3 linked regions of the Drosophila melanogaster genome follow. The protein of the gene in region 2 interacts with the protein of the main gene of each other region in a pairwise test. Each region holds a gene or a part of one and is shown on either strand. Other genes may lie near its edges.

Region 1 (3,537 bases), on a different chromosome or scaffold from region 2:
GCACTGGCGACAAGTTGGACAACTCATCCGGACAATCATCCAGCCATTGCTCCGCCAGGCTCTCGAACGCCTCCTCCTCCTTTTCCACCTGCCTTAGCTGAAGTTCAAGGAGCTCCTGGGCCTCGATGCAAACGCGGCGGAAATCGATGGCAATCTGCAGGTCGTGCTGGCAGTCCTGGCACATGAACCTGGGCAACTTGCCGTCCTCTTTTAGCTGCAAAGTGATTACAGATCGCGGCATTTATTCGGTTTTTATTTTCGCAAAACGCTAACGCACTCACCTGCAAGTTAGTTAGAGTCTCTATTTGACGCAAAACGGAAGAACTCGATGGATCGAAGAGATTCTTGGCTACCGCAGGATCAGCCATACGAGAACAGGTCCTGCAAATGTACCTCATGGCTTGTGTAATGAGATAACGCAGCACCCCGATCGATTGGAAGTGTATCTTTTTCGGTTTGTTTGGACGGAAGAACAAGAAAAGCGGCATTCGCATTTCTCAGCCCCACGCATAGTCGATTTCGAATTGACATTCGCCCAGCAACGCGGCCATTCCGCCGATTTTCAAAATCTCAATTTGTTGTTACAAGTTTTTTTCAAGAAATAAACCATTGTATCTGCAGAGCGAAAAGTCGAAAACCTTTGATGTCACAGGTGTACATTTTGATTATTTCTTCTTTTAGAACCATCAAATCAAAAATAGAATCAATTTGTTCAATTTAGGAATCTTATAATAAACTTGTACTTTCAGCAGTCCACATGAATTCTAGACAATCCTAGCACTTTCAGCTCTTCGCTGGTGTAATTTAGTGCTTTGATGTAGGGTCAAATGGGATGAGCGCAGGAACCACTGGTCACAGATCTCGCAGCTGGAAAATACAGTCAGTTTGCACATATTTTACGGAGGACAGCTAGTGCTCCTACTTACTGGTACTTCCGCTGATTAGTGTGCAGCATCTCATGTTTTTGACGCGTCGACGTGGAGGTGAAGGCCTTGTCGCAATGCTGGCACTGAAAGGGACGCTCGTTGGTGTGGGTCCGCTCGTGGACCACTTTACTGCTGCATCCTCGGTAGGTCTTGCTACAGAACCGACAAGCGTACGGTCTGGCGTCCGTGTGAAGGATTCTGTGGCGCCGCATCTCGTTATCCGTGTAGTACTTGGCCTGGCAGATGTCGCACGCGAACGGTTTGTGACCGCTGTGTCGCTGCAGGTGCAGTTTGAGGTAGGTAGAGGACTTGAAGACGCCGCCGCACTGGTCACAGAACCAGGACTTGGAGTTGCGCTTCGTACGCTTGGGGACACGGGCACTTACTCCCTTCGAGATGATGGACATGTTATGGAGCTGCTCTTGACAGTGCTCCACCTCCTCTGTTTGTACTTGTACTTGTTCCTCCTGATTCTTCTCATTCTGAGTCGCATCTTCTGCGTCCTTCGCCTTCTCATTATCATTGTGATCTTCCCGCAGAAGCCCAGCTGTATCTGCCATTGCTACACACATTTCCTGATCCGTGTGGTCCCACAAATCCTGCTGTAGCTTCTCAACATCCGGTTTATCGAGTTCCTCATCAACTATCGCCTTTTTTCGCAAAAGTTTCCTGTTAGCGGCCATAAAAGACTTGTGGACCTCCAAGCACTTATTGCGAAATGTTAAGATCCTGTCCAGCTGCACTTTGCAACATTGGCAAATTAGATGTGGCAGAGTGGTGTCAAATTCGAGCTAAACAATCATTTAAATCAATTAAATAGACAGCATACTTTAGTTTTATTCACTTACATACATACATATCGGTGATATTTTCCAGTATACTAATAAAGTGATAGTTGCTTTTGTTGAACAGTTTGGTAGCCCGACCCTGCAAATTGGTCACATTTTTGCCACAAGTTCGGCAAATCGATCGCAACTCAGACATTTTGAGCAAACCAAACGATATTTAAAAAGGTTTTTTAAAACTCAACATTATTGTGATGCATTACATTCAAGTGAATGGCAAGCGAGATAATGAAGATGCACATCAGCTGTTGTCTGTTTACTAAGTGCATGTGCGTGGTGTGTACACACTGGCTAAACGATATTTGAACAATTCAAAACAAAAATATAAAATTGTATTATTTTTTTTTTTTTTGAAAAAGCATAGACGCATCCAATACTTTTCTTTCATTTTAAACAACAATTTGGTTGAAATCGGCATCTTTTAAGAAATCTAACTTTTATTCGTTTCAGAACTAAAATCTTAATCAGACTTCTTTGCTCTCGACTTAATGTTATATATAAAATTCGTTGAGCCTTGCATTAAGTGCACGCTTATGCTGATATATGGCTTTGCCTGGCTGCATGATCACTAGGTGATACCTACTCCTTAATTCCCATTCTGCAGACCGGACAGTGGCGGCCACCATTAGCCTGGTACTGGTGGAGGCACTTCTCATGCAAGGCGTGGCTGCAGCGCAGATACACCATGGTGTAAACACTTAGGGGATCTAAACAAATCGTGCACAAGTCACCGGCTATATTGACATTAACCACCTTATCGCACTCGAGGCACTTTCTATGGGAATAGCGAAACACCAAGTAGCAGAGATTGTGCATGGCATGTCCACACCTCATGCGGCGCCGGTCGTCATCACTCAGTTCATACTGGCAAAAGGTGCACCTGCCATTCGGCGACCTGCAATGAAACAAGGGATTTAAGCCAACATTTTAGCTTTGAATCGCAAGGCACCAACCTGCCCACGATTCGACGCTCATTTAATAGCACCCACCTGGAGTAAGGCGAACTGCGGTCGTTATGCCAATTGAAATAGGCGAAAGCGGCAACGGACACCAGGCCCAAGCCTATTATTAGATTCACGTAGACCATTTTCCGCTGGCTATTGGCCTAAGTAACGTGGAAATAGAAATAAGTAGAGATTTTCCATGAAATCCCCAAAAATTAAATCAAATTTCCACTTTAGTGGGACCGCAACTGGTCGGCACTGAAAATCCAAATAGAATTGCTTGGCCACATCAACTGGCCTATTGATCATGATCAAGAATATATATGAAAATGAATTAAAAATTAATGCTGGTGCCGCAGAGGAGAGTCCTCGCAGCAGTCACTGTCCCGCCAAACCACGTCCCACCGACTTGACCTGCAGGACAGGACTTCCCCGTGTTCCAAACTCCACCGTTCCGCCTTTAAAATACCGTGTCGCACAGCCGGTATCCAAGCAGTCCAAGTGTGGCATTTAACCACCTACTCGCGCACAGTCACACCGATTTTCAGTTCGTGAACACAGTTTGATGAACTTTATGCGGAATTTTAGGGATTTGAGAATTTTGACGAGTCCAGGCAGGGGTTACTAAAGTCTCGACTCGCCCAGCGTGCGCCATCGATTTCGGCGTGGAAATCGAAGTGAAACCTCCAGCGCCGTTGCCCGAGAAACACACACACAGACACCTAATCGGGCACACCCCCACACAAAACGGGCAGACAGGAGGATTTTCCGCTGGCAATTACTCGGTGAGACGGGCGGTTAACTTAACGACGGCCATAGCTA
Region 2 (3,757 bases):
TCCAATGACTGCCTGGATCGATCCTCTATATGGTATGGTATGGTATGGTATAGCATGGTATATAGTGTGTTTGTGTGTGCACATAAGCCTATCGCGCACTTTTGTCAACACTTTTAGTCAACTGAAACAACTGCAAGAGCAACAACTGCAACAACTTCAGTGGACAAGAGCAACGTACACATTCGCACACATGCGACATGGGGTAAGGAAAACAAGTTTCAGGTTTGTTTATCGCTGCCTCCTTGGTTAACTTCTCCACTTCTTGAGGCTTGGGGCTGTGGGCTTTGGGGCTCCAGGGGCTCCGGGGCTTCGGGGCTTCGGGGCTTGGAGCCGCTCTTCCCGTTTAACATTTTACAAATGATCCGAGGCGTAAGATACGATTTTTATCGCAGGCCGGCGGTCACAGTGCTGCATGTTGTATCATCGGTCGTGATTGATACCGCCACAATGTTGTCGCTGATGTTGCTGTTGCAGTTGGGATTCGGTTCGGTGTTGCGTCTCGTGCTTTCATCAAGTGACAACTCAAGTGGCCCTATGCGATTAAAAATTAATTCCCGGTGTTTGCCGGATGGCTGGATGGATCCACAATACACTCGTACGATTTCTTATCAATGCGGCTCTTTGAATCAACCGCCGATGATTATCGACTATCTATGGCTACAGGCTATAACTATAACACAACAAATATCTCAACTCGAAGTGGTCGTTTTGCGGCTAAAGTAAATTATTTTCGGGTAGCCATTATGATGGCGAGGGTAGAGTGACAGCCATTCATGTTTGTTTAAAGAGCATTTAATATTTCCGATATTCCGTTTCAGCTTTCGACTTTGCGCCACAAGTTGCTTTTACATACATATATGAAAATATATGAATATGCTCGAGTGTCGAGTGCAAGCGATTAAATTTTTGGAACAGGGATACCATATTAACTGGGGATCGTGTTACCACTGAGGGATTATTATGGCTAAAATCCTATTGGACACTCAAGTGTGACTGAGCACGATGTGCGGTGACCTTGCCAGCTTGGTTAACAACCAAAGAGACATTGATGCATAAGAGAGATTTTCCGAATTGGCAGACGGTTTTTCGCGTGTTGTTCGCCCAATGTAGCACACTTGTGGTCCTGACATTTTCAATCTGTTTTATTTTTAAATCCATGTCTTCCGTTTGCCAAATCAAAATGCTAAGGTATTCGAACCCAGAGTAATCCCACTGTTTCTGCTTTTATCTACATGTGTTGCACTGATTTGCCTCGTAGCTGAACGGGTTTTCAATCTAATTGCCACTATCCAAATGCCAGACAAGCTAAAATGCAGCGATTAACTGAACCATCTTACAAGTAATAAAAAATGGGGGAAAAAAAACAAATTGATATACGCACCATTACTAAACAGATACCGGTTTCATTACTGTGCACTGTCATTTAATATTAATTTTTGCTTTTAACTAAAACTATAAAGCAAATCTTAGAGTTACGATGCACCGATGGACTCGCGCACTGAACCGACGTATGTGTATTTAGATAGATTTATAATCCGAGTGAAGTGATTGTGATTGTGCGATCTGTGATCTTGTGATTGATCCGAACTAGTTTTTATGTTGATTTTGGATCCGGCTTGCGAGCTATTTCAGTGTTTACTTTCTTTGGGCTGTGTTTATTTTTTTTTGTTATTCGTTTCGTTGCACTGCGTTGCACTTGCCGACGGCTGCAAGGAGCTGGCCAACTCGAGTTAGCTGGCCAACACAGGCGCTACTGGGCACCGTAAATCCGTAAAATCCGACGGGCGGCTCGACGGGAATCGTTTATGTGAGTCGTTTAAATTTGTAGAATTGGTAGAATCGGTATTCGGGAGGAGCAGCTCTATCCGGAGGATGCGAAAACGAAGCACGAATGAACCAGAGGCGGCGGCAGCAAATAGTAGTATCTGGGTGTGAATCTGATTCTGTTTCTGAATCTGGGTACTGAATTTGAATCCAGCTCGCAGAACGACGGCGAGCGGCGGGCAGAGAGCACTATTATTCACACTGCGGCACTGGCACTGCGGCGGACACGAACGATACGAACAATCTGCGTAACAGTCAAAAGTAGACTAACATGAGTTTCTTGAGCAACTACAAAGTGTACGACAAATGGGAATTACACGACAACCGACAATCGAAAAACAGCGCAGCGCAACAACAAGAACAGGCCCACGCACCACCACATCGATACATAGCCCGCGCCGCGTTTGTATGTGTGAGCGAGAGAGCGCACAAACGGGTTTCTCCCCTTAATTTTTACTCGCACCTTCGCTGGTGTGCGTGCGCTCTCTTTGCTCTTTTTGAGAGCGGCCAAGTATCTGTGCGCTGGTGTGCGTGCGAAAAGTATCTGTGTGCGCTGGAAAAAGTAGCAAACGAGGCGGCACGACGACAACACGAACGGCAACAACGGCAATAATGATTATCATTATAAGTGGGCTGGCGCTCCGGCTGTGTGTGGCACTCAGGGGATTGGGATTGGAATCGGCATCGGAATCGGTATGCTACGGTAGATACCCCTCAACCCCCTACCGAAACGTAGCCACCAATCTCGCTGCAAGTGCGAGCGAGACGCAGCAAACCAGTTGGTTAGGTGGAGGGGTGGGGGCAACAAAAAAAGTATCTACCGCCTGTGTGACCATAAATAAAGTATCTGCCAGCTGCGGCCGGGCGAGAGCGGGATGGCTATAGCCGCTGCGCCGTTGGCCACGAATCGCAACCAAGCGGCAGCGACAGCGGTAGTATCGCAACTTGCTCGCGTTGGCTGTCGTCTTGCTGGCGTGCGAGCGAGATGGCATAGCAGCAGCAGCAGCAGCAGCGGCGACAAGAAGCAGCAGCAGCAGCAGCAACACCGAGAGCGGCAGAACATGAAAAAATTAACTTAACAACTAGAAAAATGGCTGTTATTGCGTGTTGTTGTAAATGCCGATGTATGTATTTGTAGGCGATGTTGTTGCTGTTGTTGTCGGCGATGATGTTGCTGCTGTTGTTGCTGCTGCTGTTGCTGTTGCAACGCTGCTACTTGCTGCTGCTGCCGCAGTTGCTGTTGCTGCTGCTGCTGCTGCCGTGGGTGTTGCTACGTGTAGTTGTTGCCATAAACAACGCAACAACAACAACAACAACAAGACGAATGTCGCGACGTATGAAAGCAAAGTGTTTACGCTCGCTTCTCGCTTTTCGCCGTTGATGAAAAAAGAAAAGCCTGATGAACATGAACGACGAGACTCGTGAAGAGGTTGGGCCAAACGCGATGGGTAATGTTTTATCATCCGCCTCTGCCGCAGTCGCTGCTACGGCCGTTCCCCTCCAGAAACCCCCTCCTCCCCCATTACCCCATCCCTTTGGCAACCAACCCCCTGCACCGCCCCTCTTGACCGCTTTGGCTCTTTGGCTGGATTGGTGGCATCTTTCGCGCTGCTCCAACAAAAAAAGAAAAAAAAAAAATCAGAAGAAAAAACGAGAAGAACAAAAATCGCCACCGCAGCTGCCGTCGCTGCTTTTGCTGCTACAACATACGCTCTTACATTTTATTATGTAGGTATTTGTTTTTTGTTTTTTGTTTTTTGTATTTTCGTACTTCGCTTCTCGTTTTTGCCGTGGCGTTTCTTTAACTTTTTCTAATTAATTGAAACGCCACTCGAGAGGAGTGACGGCAGCTGCTAGAGCGGGATGGCGTCTATGTGCTACATATGTATCTGAGTGCTGAGCACATTTGAAAGCTACTTTGTCGTTCCTGGCA
Region 3 (3,757 bases), 4.3 Mb from region 2:
GTGGGCGAACTGCCAAATATACTTGACATTTTTATTGATATTCAAGACCGTGTTATGTCCCAAATTCTTGATTTTGCCACTAAGATTAAAATGTTAAACAGTTTGTCTTCAAATGAATATTGAAATGTATTAAAGCCATGTAAGCTGAGGAAATTTCATGCCCTTTTAAGCAATGGACAGTTTTAATAGCCTATAGCTAAACGGGTTTTTAAAATTTTAAAATTTCGCTGTACATACATAAAGACGTATTTATTTATATTCCATATAAACTGCACCATACACAACAAATATTGTCACAAAAATATATGTTTGAAATATATCCCTAGAACAACACAGAGACCAAACTTTGGACCTTTTGCAAATGTGTATAGAAATGTAACGCAATCCAGGCAATTAAATAACCCTAAAATATGCAAAACCAGATGCAATTTAATGTGTGACCAAATCGAAGTGCTCGTAACGTAAAAATTATAAACATGATATTAAATCTTTTTAACTACAATTAGCCCGAGATTTATATTTAGCGAGGGCGTTTTGATAATCTATTCATGTTGATAACATTTTGCACTGTCGAATGTATAAAAGGCACCGTAACCAATTAACTAGATTTTGTAAATTGTAATCTTTAAAAATCTGTTCAAGGATAATCAATTTATCAGCATACATATGTATTGGATCCCATTATCATGCAAAATACCATTTAAGTTAATTATGGATTAAGCAACCAAGGAGCTGCTGAAATAAAATTCGTTAAAAGACCCAGGAAGACGTAAAACTAATGTGATTTTCTGTGGGCTGCTAAAAGGAATCTAAAAAAGGGATTTTTTGTGTTTTATGTTTTATGTGACAGAACTTCCGAAAATTAAGAATTAAACTAAGTGAATACACTTCTGCATTTTTGGGGGAATTCCAATTTTACAAAGATAATAACATATCTTCCATATTTATTTATCAGAACAAATAAAACTAGTTTCATTTTTTAAATCAATATATTGCCGCTTAATAAAAGGCGAAAAGATTTTGGGGTTGGCTTAAGTTAGAAATAGCTAGCGATGGTTCTTGTCTCGAATACGTACAGTTTAAAATTAAATATTTAGATGTAATTTTCTTAGTAATAATCCATTTAATTACATAAATTGCTTTTGTTTATTATTAAAACTAAGAATATTACATAAAAGTCACATACAATTCATATTTTATAATTTGCAGTGATAGCATAGAAAATGACATAGATGTATAACCCTGCACTTCTACTACTTTTAGACATTGCATTAAAGATAGTCCCTTTAACTGAATTAAAGTTAAATCGTTATCTTAGATAAGTTTTGATTATTTAAATATAGGAATAGAAAAGCTAAGAGATCCCTGCTCCTACTCCCATGACCACTGACGTCACAATTGTCCCTCTCTTCGCACACCTTCCAACACTGCCATCGTGCTGTCGGCAAATATGGCGCCCGCTAGCAGTTGTTGTGCTGTCGTGTGGTACGTGTGGCTGGTCCAGAAAATTCTCGTTCGCTTCAAATAGGACTATTATTTAACTCAAATTCGGAACGAAAATATGCAGAAAATGTGCCGCGAACAAAGCTGTGATGGAAAAATATGAAATGTGTTAGGGAAATTAGTTTTTAAATGGCGAATTAACGTTTTTTCGTTGCCCAGCCAGATTTTCTACGCTTCTGTGTGTGTGTGTGTGCGTTTGAGGGTACCAAATTTGCAGCCCGAAAAAAAAGTTGATGAAAATTCGTTTTTTTGCTACCAACTTGGCACTTCGGTGACTGTGCATGTGTGTGTGCAGTCTGCGGGGTTGCTAATTTTACGCTAAAAACCACAACAATAATGTGTAAAAATAGTTTACGATTGCAATTGCGTGTGCGTGTGTATGGGCGTGCATGTGTGTGTGCGTAGTAGGTTGCGCCAGTGTGTGTGCAATTTTTTCCGGCAGGCAAAAATCTCTCCATTTGCAACACTGAAAAATCGATAAAACTGCAGCAAGACTTTCGGTGTAGATTTCACTAGCCAAAAATAAAAGAAATAATAAAAAAGATGTATTAATTTTTCTTAATCGTTTCCACCTTTCTCTTTTTCTCATTCAACAGCTTTTGTAACTAAAACTCCGTTTTGACATCACTTTCATCATAATCTGAAAAAATAATAATAATATAAAAAAACAACAACAAATATGATAAAAAAATAAAAAAATCACCATCGAAAACGAATCAAAAAATAATACATACAAATATAAATCGCAAATAATTGAAAGTTACAGCAGAAATAAAAAACAACAACAACATAGCTCAAAAGGAAAAAGTCAAAGCAAAAACTTTTTAAGTTTTTTGGACTCTTCTTTGTTTTTGTTTCGTTTGCTTTGCAAAGAAAAACACACAAAACAGAAAAAACGAGAATTTTTACGCCGCCCGTCGGTGTGAGCGAGACAGACAGAGAGGGAGATAAAGCGACTGCGCAAATAAAAAAAGAAAACAAAACAACAAACAACATAAAAAACAAGCCAAGCTTGAAACGAAGACTTTCAAATAAAACAACAACAAAACCAACAACAAACCAAACAAATTGAAACGCTGTGAAATTAACTCGTCAATACTCAAAAGCACCAACAAATAAATAAACAAAAAGAAAAGCTAAAACAAAATAAAAGGCAAACCACGAAGGAGCAAGTAAAGCGGAGTTTAACAAGAAAACGGCAAAAGCACTGAAAACAAAAAAGCAACGGGAAACGAAACTAACGTGAAGTCAAAGGCAACGGCGCTGCGGCGTTCGGACTCTCGAATAAAACAAAAACAATTCAAGCAAAACCGCAAAACCTACACTTGGAAAAACGCTAAATAAATCCCAAATTCCTCATTATTTTTCCTGAAAAGCTTTAATTTAATTACGAATTTTTTGTTGTTAAGTCAGAGTGAATTCAATTTGCTAATTAATTTAAATTAAGACATCAACAACCGAGCTACAAAAGCAGCAACAACAACAAACAAACAACAACCAACAAACAACTGAATTAATGTTTTAAAGTACAAAATAACCGGGAGTAAATCAACAACAAATAATTTAAACATATTAAAAACGATTTAATTTAAAACGCAACATCAATCTAAATTATTTAACTAAACATAAAAACAAACACTGCTAGAATTTAAGTCCAAAAACAACTGATAAACGCCCACAAGGGCGAAAGGGAAGTGGGAGACAGAGCGATAAATGGAGGAGAAGCGAGGAGAGCTGAATAAAACCGATCAAGCAACAATTGTGCCGCAAAAAAAGTGTGAATAAAAAATATATACTAAAAAAATAACGGTAACAATAAAGAAAACATTTAAAACCAAAAATCTACAAGAATTCTATAAGTTTTAAGTCACGTTTTACACAGACCTACAACAACAACACCAGCAATTGAACTTAGCCAATAAATTTAATTAAAACAATAAATTAGTGAAAAAAAAATAAACGGATTAAGCCAATATATATAGAGAACGCATAACAAATTCAAAACTGCGGCCTTGTGCCAAAAAAACAGTTTTTATTTTTTCCAATAAAACATTGTTTTTTACTAGTTTTCAATTCAGATTTTTTTATAAGTGTACCTAGTGAGAAATGTTAAAAGTCTAAAACAGCAAAAGCAACTGCAACAAACGGAAGTAAAACGGAGAAAAGAAAAACAAAACAAATTCAAAGAAAGATTTAACAACTCTGTGATAATTACTGTAAATTTATAAATTTAAAGAAAAAAAAAAAACAAAAA

The links.
Region 1: the proteins of mirr (region 2) and CG31441 interact in a two-hybrid assay, tested with the Drosophila melanogaster proteins (one large-scale study listed by BioGRID).
Region 3: the proteins of mirr (region 2) and Unr interact in a two-hybrid assay, tested with the Drosophila melanogaster proteins (one large-scale study listed by BioGRID).

Annotation. Positions count from the first base shown.
Region 1 is NT_033777.3:11,234,730-11,238,266, reverse strand, and holds CG31441 (uncharacterized protein), read right to left. Parts: upstream 1,982-3,537; 5' UTR 1,911-1,981; coding exon 1,779-1,910; coding exon of another isoform or gene 1,775-1,778; intron 1,718-1,774; coding exon 927-1,717; intron 868-926; coding exon 765-867; 3' UTR 643-764; downstream 1-642. Other genes in the region: CG31388 (uncharacterized protein), read right to left, coding at 1-214, 282-398; CG17721 (uncharacterized protein), read right to left, coding at 2,351-2,666, 2,725-2,858; Arfip (arfaptin), read left to right, coding at 3,537-3,537.
Region 2 is NT_037436.4:12,691,978-12,695,734, reverse strand, and holds the start of mirr (mirror), read right to left. Parts: upstream 2,097-3,757; 5' UTR 1,424-2,096; coding exon 1,382-1,423; intron 1-1,381.
Region 3 is NT_037436.4:8,440,061-8,443,817, reverse strand, and holds the start of Unr (upstream of N-ras), read left to right. Parts: upstream 1-2,110; 5' UTR 2,111-3,757. UniProt on the Drosophila melanogaster protein: RNA-binding protein that acts as a regulator of dosage compensation in both males and females.